Linked DNA regions of Saccharomyces cerevisiae S288C. The protein of the gene in region 1 purifies or fractionates together with the protein of each later gene. This does not show direct contact. Each region holds a gene or a part of one and is shown in the gene's direction. Other genes may lie near its edges.

Evidence for each region.
Region 2: the proteins of CEG1 (region 1) and FUN12 purify together in Saccharomyces cerevisiae (affinity purification with mass spectrometry, with the first as the bait; 2 studies listed by BioGRID). This does not show direct contact.
Region 3: the proteins of CEG1 (region 1) and LSM12 purify together in Saccharomyces cerevisiae (affinity purification with mass spectrometry, with the first as the bait; 2 studies listed by BioGRID). This does not show direct contact.

The regions. Positions count from the first base shown.
Region 1 is NC_001139.9:262,988-269,768, forward strand, and holds CEG1 (mRNA guanylyltransferase), read left to right. Parts: upstream 1-3,157; coding exon 3,158-4,537; downstream 4,538-6,781. Other genes in the region: DNA-binding E3 ubiquitin-protein ligase SNT2, read right to left, coding at 1-2,872; mitochondrial 37S ribosomal protein mS29 RSM23, read right to left, coding at 4,736-6,088; U2-type spliceosomal complex subunit CWC23, read right to left, coding at 6,306-6,781. UniProt on the Saccharomyces cerevisiae protein: Second step of mRNA capping. Transfer of the GMP moiety of GTP to the 5'-diphosphate terminus of RNA via a covalent enzyme-GMP reaction intermediate.
Region 2 is NC_001133.9:73,815-79,935, forward strand, and holds FUN12 (translation initiation factor eIF5B), read left to right. Parts: upstream 1-2,612; coding exon 2,613-5,621; downstream 5,622-6,121. Other genes in the region: YAL037W (uncharacterized protein), read left to right, coding at 206-1,009; GTP-binding protein RBG1, read right to left, coding at 1,229-2,338; MIND complex subunit MTW1, read left to right, coding at 5,904-6,121. UniProt on the Saccharomyces cerevisiae protein: Plays a role in translation initiation. Translational GTPase that catalyzes the joining of the 40S and 60S subunits to form the 80S initiation complex with the initiator methionine-tRNA in the P-site base paired to the start codon.
Region 3 is NC_001140.6:351,255-353,819, forward strand, and holds LSM12 (Lsm12p), read left to right. Parts: upstream 1-1,501; coding exon 1,502-2,065; downstream 2,066-2,565. Other genes in the region: mismatch repair ATPase MSH1, read left to right, coding at 1-1,199; iron-sulfur cluster assembly protein CIA2, read left to right, coding at 2,371-2,565.

The DNA.
Region 1 (6,781 bases):
CATTATATTTTGGCAGCTTATTATTCACTAACTTTAAGCTATTCCGTAATCGCTGAAATGTTTTGTTATCAAATTTGACAAATTTAAAACCTTTATCTACAGACACTGAACCAGAAGAACTGCCGCCTGTTTTAATTGAAATTTCTATCAAATCATTCGAAGCATTAGTGATTTTAGGAATATTGTTATTACTAGCCTTCTCGATAAATACATCGTTGCACTTGCGATTTCGGCTTGTATCACTTGTTTTGATAGTACCAGGTGATTGTCGAATTATGTTCACGGGAAATTCGTCCTTTGTGTTTTTCGCTCTTTCTGGCTTTTGTTCAGGGATGGCTTTTCTTACCTCTTTGTTGTCCTCTATAAATAGCTCAAGATCTCGTTGCATCGTCTCCGGGTGAAACTCATTCTTTCGATATGATCTCACAGCCATTTTGTAGAGTTGCGTGTGGAATGTCATGGAATACCGCTTCATTTTCACAAATGAATTTGGGTTCTTGTAAACTTTCATTCTTTGCCTGATAATTAGCTCTGAATCCTGAACAAGTTCCCATTCTAGTAGTTTATTATGAGCTTGAAAGGGAGATAACGTAAACTTGTTTGTGTTATTCTCCTCTATAATCCCTTCTATCGCTGAATAAAAACTATTCTGACAGGTTCCCGTTATTTTTCTCAATGTTTCAAGCGGTGGTACCCACTTAATTGCGTATCTTCGCCACATACGAGCACAACGAATGCAAAGAGCGCCAAGTTTTTCATTCTTTTTGCTATGGGCAGGCGATTTCTCTGAAATTTCTGTTTTTTCGTTGACTCCTGTCTGCATTCTTATCTTGATCTTTTCATCATCTGAACCTCCAGTAACTCTATACCACATCGGGGAGTAATCTGTTTTACAAAACATGCATTGGAAGGAGGATTCTGCTAAAGAGAGTTTCTCAGTATCAAAAGAAGAATCATCTATATACTTTGTCTCTACGTCATTTTCATGATTAGCGATTTCTTTTTTTCTTTTATTCTTTGATAACTTACTCAATTTCCCTCTCACGGTAAGGCCTCTTTCAGTCTTTTTCCAATTGTAATAAAATCTAACAATCATCGACATAGGTTGAGTGCCCACATACTCACACACTGGGCGTAATTCACTCCCAAATTTCTCGACAGCTTCCTCAAACTTTCGGATCTCCACGGCGGTAAAACTTGGCTCTTTCAAAAATTTTCTGGAAAGCTCCCTTTTACATTTTTTAAATGCCTCTGCTGTATCATAATTTGTAAATAATAAATTCTTTAGGACTACATCAATGAAATTACAAGTCTCACCTCTCACATTGAGAATAGGGCATATTTCGCTTTTGCATTGTTCAATATATTCACTCAATTTTCGAGTAGTAATTTTTGATGCATCAAGTACCCATGCTAGTTCCGAAGTTTTCGTTGAGCCTCGCTCTTCTTCTGAATTTGCACTTATATACGAGTTCCGCCTCCAGGGCACATTATGATTACATCCGTTCCATTGATACTTCACTCCTACCCTAGAGGGTTTGAAAGGATATGGAAAAAACATAGAATCATTTAATGCGTCACCAATATGAGAAATGGAATATATTCCTAAGTATTGAAACCAGCAATTTTCGGTATTATAACCAACATTCTCTTTGATAGCTTTGCTAGAAATTTCTTCAATTTTTTGTCTTACAGAGCGAATAAAATCCAGTTCCAGTGCTTGTTCTTCTAGAAACCTAACATGCGAGTCCTTAGTACCTTGTTGTTTCTGTAAGCAACTGAAGCAGGTCCAAACGACGTCTTTGTTCGGCTTCCTGTCAAGTGGCGGATCCATACAGTATAGATGTGCACAAACGCCGCATTCATCACATGAAAGGCTCTCCTTTTGGATACACCATTCTTTACAGAACTGACATCTTTTATCCCATTGGTAGTCTGCAGGACTTAATTCGTTTACCTCTAGTTCATGGAAAACGTATTTCTTCAAAACGTTCTCCAATGGATACTTCGGTTCTGTATAGATATAACGAAATCTCCTATTCAAAACATAAAGAAATGGCGACTTACTGTTCCATTTATTTAATATTTTATCCGTGCTGTAAACTTTGTAATATTTCAAAGTATATCTGTCAAAAAGTTCATCAAAGTAAAAGATATTGGGTCGTATAATGCATTCCTTCTCATTAGGAAGAACATCAAAAACTTCGTCTTTATGAAATATACTACATTTTCCCCTGTATGATGAAATAGGACATATGTCCTGGTGTAATGATGCATACACCAACCTTGGGTTAAAAGTATTTACGTGCTCTTGAATATCCCTAGGACGATAAAACCAATTCATTCTAACTTGAAAAAATTTAGCAGGGAAGACCGATGTTGTCTTTATAGCTTCATGAATAGTGTTAGAAAATTCTGGTTTACTAACAAAATTTACAACTCTGCCAACATAATAAGGCTCGCCAGCAGGCTCTGATATCATATAAATAGTGTCGTTCGCAGATAAAAGGACAGATTCTGTATTGAAAAGAGACATCTTTTTCAAGTCAATCATGGCATCATCTAGATCAAGTATGTTAGAGAATCTGCTATTCTTTCTGAACGAAGGGGGTAATGTAGGGATAAAGTTCCAGCAAGTATTCTTATCATGAAGGAATTTTTGGTACTTGAATTTCTCGTTTCTACTAGCTGGATTGCTTGTCCTTTTACAATTCCTGGGAGTTTGGCTATTGCTACCCTTGGTCTTAGCACCACTTTTTTCCGCTATTTGTATTTGTTGAACTAATTTAGTATCTATTTCCATTTCATTATAATTCACGTTTTTAGCAGCCTCTCTTCTTCTAGGTAATTGGAAATCTTCTTCTTTAGGCATAGCGTGACCAGCTGAAAGGCAGATGATCTCAATATGTCCCGATAGGCCAATTTTGCCACCAGATAGTTCGATGGCATTTTATTTTTAGTCCTTTTGAAAGCAATATCATAAAATATATATAGTTCTCCATGATGTTCGGGTCAGTCGCTCCGAAGCGTAACCTAGTATAATAAATAGTTCATTGCAGAAAATAACGAAAGAAATGGTGGAATACGATCTGTTATATCTAAACTAAAGCTAACTAACGGAATAAGCAAATACGAATCGACCGCTAATTTAACAAATATGGTTTTAGCAATGGAAAGTAGAGTGGCACCGGAAATTCCTGGGCTCATTCAACCTGGGAATGTCACGCAAGACTTGAAGATGATGGTCTGTAAATTATTGAATTCCCCAAAACCTACGAAAACATTCCCTGGTTCCCAGCCTGTGTCCTTTCAGCATTCTGATGTGGAAGAGAAGCTGCTTGCGCATGATTACTACGTTTGTGAGAAAACAGATGGTCTGCGGGTGTTGATGTTTATAGTGATAAATCCTGTGACGGGTGAGCAAGGATGCTTTATGATTGATAGGGAAAATAACTATTATCTGGTTAATGGATTTAGGTTTCCCAGATTACCCCAAAAGAAGAAAGAAGAGCTGCTAGAGACTCTTCAAGATGGCACCTTATTAGATGGTGAACTTGTCATACAAACTAACCCAATGACAAAATTACAAGAGTTGCGTTATTTAATGTTCGATTGTCTTGCTATCAATGGTAGATGTCTCACACAATCACCAACAAGTTCTAGACTAGCCCACCTTGGAAAAGAATTTTTTAAACCATACTTCGATTTAAGAGCAGCGTACCCTAATCGTTGTACTACTTTTCCGTTCAAAATTTCCATGAAACATATGGATTTCAGTTACCAATTAGTAAAAGTTGCTAAAAGTTTAGATAAACTACCACATCTTTCTGATGGTCTGATATTTACTCCTGTGAAGGCACCTTACACTGCCGGCGGAAAAGATTCATTGTTATTAAAATGGAAGCCAGAACAAGAAAACACCGTGGACTTCAAATTGATTTTAGATATCCCAATGGTGGAGGATCCTTCTTTGCCTAAAGATGATCGGAACAGGTGGTATTACAATTATGACGTTAAGCCAGTTTTCAGCTTATATGTCTGGCAAGGCGGAGCTGATGTCAATTCACGTTTAAAACATTTCGACCAGCCTTTCGATAGGAAGGAATTTGAAATATTAGAAAGAACATACAGAAAATTTGCAGAGTTGAGCGTTTCAGATGAGGAATGGCAAAATTTGAAGAACCTAGAACAGCCATTAAATGGTAGAATAGTAGAGTGCGCAAAAAACCAAGAGACTGGGGCGTGGGAAATGTTAAGATTCAGGGATGATAAGTTAAATGGTAATCATACATCGGTGGTCCAGAAAGTTTTGGAGAGTATCAACGATTCAGTTTCATTGGAGGACCTCGAGGAAATTGTTGGTGATATTAAAAGGTGCTGGGACGAGAGAAGAGCAAATATGGCTGGTGGTAGTGGGAGACCACTACCGTCTCAAAGTCAAAATGCGACATTATCTACCTCTAAGCCAGTCCATTCACAGCCCCCAAGTAATGATAAGGAGCCAAAATATGTAGACGAGGATGATTGGTCGGATTAGGCTAAGAAGTGTTCGTATCGACATATATCGGTGTAAGAATTTTGTGTATGAATAAGATAGAAAAGCAAAAGCAATTGCTTTTGCTAAATTAATTCAGTTAGTTATCTATTTATATGTACATGAGAAATGGGAGAATTTTGAGAAGCGAGGGTGAAAGTGTTATATACGCATATACATGTATATATATGCGCATGCTTATCACCTATGGGAAAGGACTAAACTTTTCAATAATTCTCTTGGGTTACCGTTACCACTTAGGAAATATTTTTCGTCAATCAAGTTCTCCCACTTTTTTCCTGTGATATCCTTGTCTAATAAAACATTTGATTGTTTGTAGTAATCGATTAGTTCGTTAACTTCCTGTTTGTTCAGTTTAGGAACCTCGAATTCGGTGACATTACCTTTTTGGAGCAATTCTACGAACTTCGGTTCATAGTGATATCTAGTAACATAGGGGTCTACTGGGATCTTGCCCAATGCCACGGGTAAAGTTTTGTTTGTCCTGTCAACGCCGGATATAGCTAATATAGTAGAACTCTCACCATTAGCAAATTTCGTCTCTCCTGAAATAATGTCCATCATCAATTTACCCATTTGTAAATCCAGGGAATATATTTGTTTATTCTCTGTATTTCTGTACGCAGAATATGCAGTAGTTAACACTTTTGAAAAATTATCCACTGTAAACATGATTGGCACCTTGGATTGGACAGATAACTCATCAATAATGGCTTTCATTAGTTTTCCACGATTATGCGGGTGGGTCATTACGGATAACAAATCTAAAACTGTATTTTTCGTTTTGTTTAATGTGACAAATGGTTTTACAGAGGCATTCTTTGGGTTTGCATTCGAGAACTTGTAGTCTTTGGATAGCTCAATAGATTTTAACAATGCAGGGTCATTTGCCTTCAATATTTTCCTTATAAGCTTTTTCAAATACATCGGTTGGATGAAAAGCTTTAAATCATCATCATAAGAAAAGTCATTCCTACCGTTCAGGAATAATTCAGGATATGATATGTTAATAATGATTTGCTTGGAATCAACTGCATATGCATGCGCTTGAGAGAGTAGTACAGTTTTCCCGACCCCTGGCTCTCCAGTGATTATAAATTTTTTAACAGGATGAGATACTAGTTTCTTCAAAAAGCTATTCGTTGCATCTTCACGAACTAGACAAACCGGTTTTTGAAAAAGTTCATTGAACTGCGACTTCTTGAAGGAACCCAAATGGTGAAGGGATTTGTACTGTTTGTTGGAATATGATACTACTTTATTCAAAGTCTTGGAAATATCATCAAAGTTGAAGATAGGTAATGCCAAAGGAACGGCGGTCTGTTGTAATTGAGCGGTGTGCGTGGTGTTTGTCCAGTTTTTATACAATGAACCAGGAGTAACTCTCTTTGCAGATGAGTAAGATGAGACTGAAGATGATTTTTTGGAAAATCCTTGAGTTTTACCTTTTGGTGCCGGTTTAGCAGCCTGGAGAGATCGTGCCGTAGTGAACAGCCTTTGCCCAATGAATCTTGAAGTTGACATACGTAGCATTATTCTGATACGTATACCACGTGGCTTGTACTTGTTCTCTTGTTAATGTTTTCCCTCGAAGTATAGAAGTTGATGTATATATACAATATACATATATATATATTCTTGTACATAGTACTTGCTGAGTTTCCTTTTCTTTTTCTTCCGTTTTGTAAGAAAGCCCCGGAAAATATAGTGTTCCATAGGATAAAGAAAAACAGGCATACATATGTGCAAGCTAGTCGAGTAGGATAGGTTCATTAGAGACCAGTCTTGCAATATCGTCATTCAGTTCCGTCTCCAAATTAAAATCAGAGTAGTAATGTAGCGGGATCAAGGGCGAAATATCCTTGACCGTGGGTATGAGGTTCCCACTTGACCAGTTTCGGAATACGTGCTGCGCTGTGATGGGAGTATCGAATACAGTATATATGATGATTGAATCATCCTTCGAGTAGTTGTTTCTTTCAGAGAAGTAGATGTCGTAGATTTCATTAGCACTTAGCGTGATGAATACTTGATTGCGCAAATGAGATAAGCAGTTTGATTTATTATTTGATTGCAGGAAGTTGTCAAGGACAATTCTCAAAGTAGAGCAATCGTAATACGGATGTTGCGAAGCATTTTCTTGGTCTTGTGTGTTGAGATGTTTCCAGTCACCATAGGGCAAGTTGAAATGTTTTAGTTTCCTGAGTAGCTCGCCGTGGCGTTGGA
Region 2 (6,121 bases), on another chromosome or scaffold:
ATTGATCCTCTTATCAGAAACGATAAGTGCTACTCCGTCCTATTCTTCTAGCCATCTAGTACGTATTCTTTTCATAACATAATCCCTTATTTACAGAATGTGTTTCGAAGAAAAATTAATTAGATGGGAAGAAAACTGAAGTGGCTTATATAATCAGTGACATAGTGCCAATAATTACGCAAAAAGCAAAGGAAATAACACTGCTATGGATATGGAAATCGAAGATTCAAGCCCCATAGATGACCTGAAGTTACAAAAACTGGATACCAATGTTTATTTTGGACCCTGTGAGATATTGACACAACCTATTCTTTTGCAATATGAAAATATTAAGTTCATCATTGGTGTCAATCTAAGTACTGAAAAGATAGCGTCGTTTTATACCCAGTATTTCAGGAACTCTAATTCGGTAGTCGTGAATCTTTGCTCACCAACTACAGCAGCAGTAGCAACAAAGAAGGCCGCAATTGATTTGTATATACGAAACAATACAATACTACTACAGAAATTCGTTGGACAGTACTTGCAGATGGGCAAAAAGATAAAAACATCTTTAACACAGGCACAAACCGATACAATCCAATCACTGCCCCAGTTTTGTAATTCGAATGTCCTCAGTGGTGAGCCCTTGGTACAGTACCAGGCATTCAACGATCTGTTGGCACTCTTTAAGTCATTTAGTCATTTTGGAAATATCTTGGTTATATCATCACATTCCTATGATTGCGCACTTCTCAAATTTCTTATTTCCAGGGTGATGACCTACTATCCACTAGTGACCATCCAGGATTCTTTGCAATATATGAAAGCAACCCTGAACATATCCATCAGTACATCCGATGAGTTCGATATTCTGAATGATAAAGAACTGTGGGAGTTTGGCCAAACCCAGGAAATTCTAAAACGTAGGCAGACGAGCTCAGTCAAGAGGAGATGTGTCAATTTACCAGAAAACTCTACGATCGATAACAGAATGCTTATGGGTACCACAAAGCGAGGTCGCTTTTGAAGAGCCCTCGGTAGCATAACATTTTTAATTATTACGACTGTTTTTTTTATTCATTATGTAGAGATAATTAAATGTTATAGATGCTCTATACTCAAACGGTGGAAGAAAAACAGCGAAAAAAAATAACCGATACCCCCTTTTCGAATACAAATGCTTGTATATTCAATTATGAATTATTTTTTTTTTTTTTCATTTCTTATATTATTTTTTGTTCGAGAATCACTTTTTCAAGATGGTAACAACATCTTCGTCTTCCAAAATGTGACTCAACCCCACGTATTGAGGTTGATGTTTGACACTGCTACCGTAAACCAGAGCATTTCTAAAGTCGTCCACTAAAGATTTATGAATTTGGTTACAAAAATCCTTGACACTGCAACGGTCTGATCTTAGCACCACAGGGTCGGTAAAATCTGGTATTTGGCCCTTTGGTTTAGTGTAAATACGGACTAGATTTAGTCTATCCCACATGACTTGCAACAGCTCGTCCAAGTTCCAATCTTGACCAGACGAAATAGGCACGGCATTAGGAATTCGGTAAAGTAATTCCAATTCCTCTATTGACAGAGAATCAATCTTGTTTAACACATAGATGGCAGGCATGTATCTTCTTGACGAAGCTTCCAAAACATCAATCAAATCATCCACAGTGGCATCACACCTGAAGGCAATCTCAGCGCTATTTATTCTGTACTCGCTCATAACGGCTCTGATTTCGTCATTCCCCAGATGGGTCAATGGGACTGTGTTTGTGATGGAAATACCACCTTTCTCTTTTTTTTTGATCAAGATATCTGGCGGAGTTTTATTCAGACGAATCCCCACACCTTCCAGTTCCTTCTCAATGATTTGCTTATGATGCAAGGGTTTGTTCACATCTAGGATGATAAATAACAGGTTACAGGTTCTTGCCACGGCAATAACTTGCTTACCTCTACCTCTACCATCCTTAGCACCATCGATAATACCAGGTAAATCCAACATTTGGATCTTGGCACCTTTATAACGAATGACACCGGGGACGGTAACCAGGGTGGTAAACTCGTACTCAGCTGCTTCAGACTCAGTACCAGTCAACTTGGACAGTAATGTAGATTTCCCCACCGACGGGAACCCGACAAACCCCACACTGGCCACACCAGTTCTAGCCACATCAAAACCAATACCAGCACCACCACCGCTGCCGGATGAAGCACTGGTCAACAATTCTCTTCTCAGTTTGGCCAGCTTGGCCTTCAGTTGACCCAAATGGAAAGATGTGGCCTTGTTCTTTTGGGTACGGGCCATTTCATCTTCGATAGCTTTGATTTTTTCAACTGTAGTAGACATTTTGCTCAATCAACAACTCTACGCTTGCACCTACTGCATCTAGCTTCAAACACTTCCTATCATTGCGCCCTCATCACACCGTAATATCCCATCTTAAAAGTGGAAAACTCTTATAGCTCATCGATGAAAAAAACGGGCCCTCGTCGCTTGTGATGTGAAAAAATTTTTCAAGCTTTAAGCCCATTGAAAGCAAGAGATCTTGCACTAGAATAAGTGGCAAAGGTGAACTTTGAGGGGATAAGAAGGGCAATCAGGAACATCAGATAAGTGAAAGATGGCGAAAAAGAGTAAAAAGAACCAACAGAACTACTGGGATGAGGAATTCGAAGAAGACGCCGCCCAGAACGAAGAAATCAGTGCCACGCCAACTCCAAATCCAGAAAGCAGCGCAGGTGCAGATGACACTTCCAGAGAAGCAAGTGCAAGTGCTGAAGGTGCTGAGGCCATTGAAGGCGACTTCATGTCTACTTTGAAGCAATCGAAGAAGAAGCAAGAAAAGAAGGTTATTGAAGAGAAGAAGGATGGTAAGCCTATACTAAAGTCCAAGAAGGAAAAGGAGAAGGAAAAAAAGGAAAAGGAGAAGCAGAAGAAGAAAGAACAAGCTGCCAGGAAGAAGGCCCAACAGCAAGCTCAAAAGGAGAAGAACAAGGAGTTGAACAAGCAAAATGTTGAAAAAGCTGCTGCTGAGAAGGCTGCTGCTGAGAAATCCCAAAAATCTAAAGGTGAAAGTGATAAACCAAGTGCTAGTGCTAAGAAGCCAGCCAAGAAAGTACCTGCCGGTTTGGCTGCTTTGAGACGTCAATTAGAATTGAAGAAACAACTTGAAGAACAAGAAAAGTTGGAAAGAGAGGAAGAAGAAAGATTGGAGAAAGAAGAGGAGGAAAGATTGGCCAACGAAGAAAAAATGAAGGAAGAAGCTAAAGCAGCTAAAAAGGAAAAGGAGAAGGCAAAGCGTGAAAAACGAAAGGCTGAAGGTAAGCTATTGACCAGAAAGCAAAAAGAAGAAAAGAAATTATTGGAAAGAAGACGTGCCGCTTTATTGTCTTCCGGTAACGTCAAAGTTGCCGGTCTGGCCAAGAAGGATGGAGAAGAAAACAAACCAAAGAAGGTTGTTTACAGCAAGAAGAAGAAGAGAACAACCCAGGAAAACGCCTCCGAAGCCATTAAATCTGACTCTAAGAAAGACTCGGAAGTTGTACCTGATGACGAACTCAAAGAATCCGAAGATGTTTTGATTGATGATTGGGAAAATTTGGCTCTTGGTGATGATGACGAGGAGGGAACCAACGAAGAAACGCAAGAATCCACCGCAAGCCATGAAAATGAAGACCAAAATCAAGGCGAAGAAGAAGAAGAAGGAGAAGAAGAAGAAGAAGAAGAAGAAGAAAGAGCACATGTGCATGAAGTTGCCAAAAGCACACCAGCAGCTACACCAGCAGCTACTCCAACTCCATCCAGCGCTTCTCCAAACAAAAAAGATCTTCGTTCCCCAATTTGTTGTATTTTGGGTCATGTCGATACCGGTAAGACTAAATTGTTAGACAAAATCAGACAAACCAACGTTCAAGGTGGTGAAGCTGGTGGCATCACCCAACAGATTGGTGCCACTTATTTCCCCATCGACGCTATTAAGGCAAAAACTAAAGTTATGGCTGAATATGAAAAACAAACTTTTGATGTCCCAGGTCTTTTGGTTATTGATACCCCAGGTCACGAATCCTTCTCTAACTTACGTTCAAGAGGTTCTTCATTGTGTAACATCGCAATTTTGGTTATTGACATTATGCATGGTTTGGAACAACAGACTATTGAATCTATCAAACTGTTAAGAGATAGAAAGGCTCCATTTGTCGTTGCCCTAAACAAAATTGATAGATTATATGACTGGAAAGCCATTCCAAACAATTCATTCAGAGACTCCTTTGCAAAGCAATCAAGAGCTGTTCAAGAGGAATTTCAATCTAGGTATTCTAAGATTCAATTGGAATTAGCTGAACAAGGTTTGAATTCGGAATTGTATTTCCAAAACAAAAATATGTCTAAGTATGTCTCCATTGTCCCAACATCTGCCGTCACCGGTGAGGGTGTTCCAGATTTATTGTGGTTGCTATTAGAATTGACCCAAAAGAGGATGTCCAAACAATTGATGTACTTGTCTCACGTGGAAGCAACCATTTTGGAAGTGAAAGTCGTAGAAGGTTTTGGTACCACAATTGATGTTATCTTGTCCAACGGTTACTTGAGAGAAGGTGACCGTATTGTACTGTGTGGTATGAATGGTCCAATTGTAACGAATATCAGAGCATTACTAACACCACAACCATTACGTGAACTACGTTTGAAATCTGAATATGTCCACCACAAAGAAGTCAAGGCTGCTTTAGGTGTCAAGATTGCCGCTAATGATTTAGAAAAAGCCGTTTCTGGTTCTAGGCTGCTAGTTGTCGGTCCTGAAGATGACGAAGATGAATTGATGGACGACGTTATGGATGATTTGACTGGTTTGTTGGACTCCGTTGACACAACTGGTAAAGGTGTTGTGGTCCAAGCATCCACCTTGGGTTCTTTGGAAGCTTTGTTGGATTTCTTGAAAGACATGAAAATCCCTGTGATGTCTATCGGGTTAGGTCCAGTGTACAAGCGTGATGTTATGAAAGCCTCCACTATGTTGGAAAAGGCTCCAGAGTATGCCGTGATGTTATGTTTTGATGTTAAAGTGGATAAGGAAGCTGAACAATACGCTGAACAAGAAGGAATTAAGATCTTTAATGCAGACGTCATCTATCATTTATTTGATTCATTTACAGCATACCAAGAAAAGTTATTGGAAGAACGTCGTAAAGATTTCCTAGATTACGCTATTTTCCCATGTGTCTTACAAACCTTACAAATTATTAACAAACGTGGTCCAATGATTATTGGTGTAGACGTTCTGGAAGGTACTCTACGTGTGGGAACTCCTATTTGCGCTGTGAAAACCGACCCTACTACAAAGGAAAGACAAACTTTGATATTAGGTAAAGTCATCTCTTTAGAAATCAACCATCAACCTGTCCAAGAAGTAAAGAAGGGCCAAACCGCTGCTGGTGTTGCCGTCCGTCTAGAAGATCCCTCCGGTCAACAACCTATCTGGGGTCGTCATGTTGACGAGAATGATACATTATACTCCTTGGTTTCAAGAAGATCTATTGACACTTTGAAGGATAAAGCTTTTAGGGACCAAGTTGCTAGATCCGATTGGCTGCTATTGAAGAAGCTGAAGGTCGTTTTCGGCATCGAATGAGCATGGCATACGCTGACTTGTCAACCCAATCACATTCTACAAAATTTAATGAATTAAATAGGTAATTGTATATAAAAATGTGAACCTTTGTGTATTAGTTTCAATTCTATCTTACTTTTCATTGCCATTTTACTTCTTTCACCTTGCTGTCTTTCAACCTTGGAAATTTTTATAGTACGCGTAAACAAAAAAGGTAAATAAGAGGCATTGAATATAAGTTGGCATTTATTAGGAAGTTGAGTAATAACACGTTGAAACTGGGTTAAGACGATCAAAACAACCATGTCTGCTCCCACTATGAGATCCACCTCAATATTGACAGAGCATTTGGGATATCCGCCCATCTCGCTTGTTGATGATATCATTAATGCTGTAAATGAAATTATGTACAAGTGCACTGCTGCCATGGAAAAATATCTGCTATCCAAGAGCAAAATCGGCGAGGAAGATTATGGAGAAGAGATCAAAAGTGGAGTTGCTAAGTTGGAATCACTTTTGGA
Region 3 (2,565 bases), on another chromosome or scaffold:
TCGTAAACCCTTCGTTCAATACCAAACTTAGGAAATTGCATGACACTTATCAGGGCGTTTGGCAAAAAAAAACTGAGTACAATGCTTTATTAAAAGGTTTTTTTGTTGGCGACCTAGGTGCTAAGACTTTCACCTTGAAGGAAAGGCAAAACGGTGAGTATGCCCTCCATGTGACAGGAACAGCCTCTAGTTTAAAGAAAATTGATGAGTTAATTAGTAAATCGACGGAGTACCACGGAAGTTGCTTCCATATTTTGCAAAAATCAAGCCAAACACGATGGTTGAGTCACAAAATTTGGACAGACTTGGGGCACGAGTTGGAATTATTAAATTTAAAGATTAGGAATGAAGAGGCTAATATTATTGATCTTTTTAAAAGGAAATTTATTGATAGAAGTAACGAGGTCAGACAAGTTGCAACTACACTGGGCTATCTTGATACCTTATCGTCCTTTGCTGTGTTAGCTAACGAGAGAAATTTAGTCTGCCCAAAAGTGGATGAGAGCAATAAACTAGAAGTAGTGAATGGGAGACATCTAATGGTTGAAGAGGGTCTTTCCGCGCGCTCTTTGGAGACATTCACGGCCAATAACTGCGAATTGGCGAAGGACAATTTATGGGTAATTACCGGACCGAATATGGGTGGTAAATCTACATTCTTAAGACAGAATGCAATTATAGTCATTCTGGCGCAAATTGGATGTTTTGTTCCATGCAGTAAGGCGCGTGTGGGTATTGTAGATAAGCTTTTTAGCCGAGTTGGTTCAGCAGATGATCTGTACAATGAGATGAGTACGTTCATGGTTGAGATGATAGAAACATCGTTCATCTTGCAAGGAGCTACGGAACGGTCTTTAGCTATTCTAGATGAGATTGGCCGTGGGACTAGTGGTAAAGAAGGCATTAGCATCGCTTATGCAACTTTAAAGTATTTGTTAGAGAACAATCAATGCAGAACGCTTTTTGCTACACATTTTGGTCAAGAACTGAAGCAAATCATTGATAACAAATGTTCGAAAGGAATGAGCGAAAAGGTCAAGTTTTACCAAAGCGGAATCACTGATTTAGGTGGAAACAATTTTTGTTACAACCATAAGTTGAAGCCGGGCATCTGCACGAAATCAGATGCCATTAGAGTTGCGGAATTGGCCGGATTTCCAATGGAAGCGTTAAAAGAAGCCCGCGAAATATTGGGATAACTTTTGAATACAACTATTAATTGTATATAATTTGACATGTAATATAATAAGATGTGGAATCAATTTCCCTGTCTTTTTTTTCAAAAGCGACTGTGAAGATACTTAGAAAATGGCAAAAACGGTAGTTTGCAAATTTCCGTAGTTTGTCGCGCGAATGATATTAGCGGAAACAAAACGATCAAACCTTATACCATGAATATAATGGTGGATATTTATTACGGTAAGGAAACACTCTGAGCCAGGCTTGTAAATAGCGGTTATCTAAGCTTGTAACTAAAGAAATCAATTTGCATCTTTCGTCCATGAGTGTCAGCCTTGAGCAAACGCTCGGATTCAGAATAAAAGTTACGAACGTGTTGGATGTAGTTACTGAAGGAAGATTGTATTCGTTCAATTCATCCAACAACACTCTTACTATCCAAACAACAAAGAAGAATCAATCTCCACAAAACTTCAAGGTGATAAAATGTACATTCATCAAGCATTTGGAAGTCATTGGTGATAAGCCCTCGTTTAACTCATTCAAAAAGCAACAAATCAAACCCTCATATGTCAACGTGGAAAGAGTTGAGAAGCTTTTGAAAGAAAGTGTAATAGCATCTAAAAAGAAAGAACTCTTAAGGGGCAAGGGTGTGAGTGCAGAGGGTCAGTTCATTTTCGATCAAATCTTCAAGACCATAGGAGATACTAAGTGGGTGGCTAAAGACATCATTATTCTTGATGACGTTAAGGTGCAACCTCCATACAAGGTCGAAGATATCAAAGTGCTACATGAGGGAAGTAACCAATCCATTACATTAATTCAAAGAATAGTGGAAAGAAGCTGGGAGCAGCTAGAACAAGACGATGGTAGGAAAGGTGGATAGATTAATTAATGACGGAAACGATAATATACGTTATATATTTTATCCGTACTTCTATAATGTCAACTATTGTTTATAAAGAGATCCATTTGAGTCTACAGATTTTTCTATTTATCAAACTATAATATTCCACCACTCTCTTCTCAGTCGCAATGCTTGGGTGTACGGTGTTTGAATAATTGAATTAGATTTAAATGCGAATAAGTGATGACTAACAAGCAAAAAAATCGAGTATTTCAAGATCCAGTCGAATATAAAATCTTGCTACTGCATTATTCTACGATTTCCTGTTATCACTTATAGTACACATGTCTGAGTTTTTGAATGAAAATCCCGACATTTTAGAGGAGAACCAACTTCCCACTAGAAAAGAAGATAGTACCAAGGACCTTTTGTTAGGCGGGTTCAGCAACGAAGCTACGCTGGAAAGGAGAAGCCTTTTGCTGAAAATAGACCATTCTTTAAAGTCTCAGGTATTGCAAGATATAGAGGTCTTAGACAAG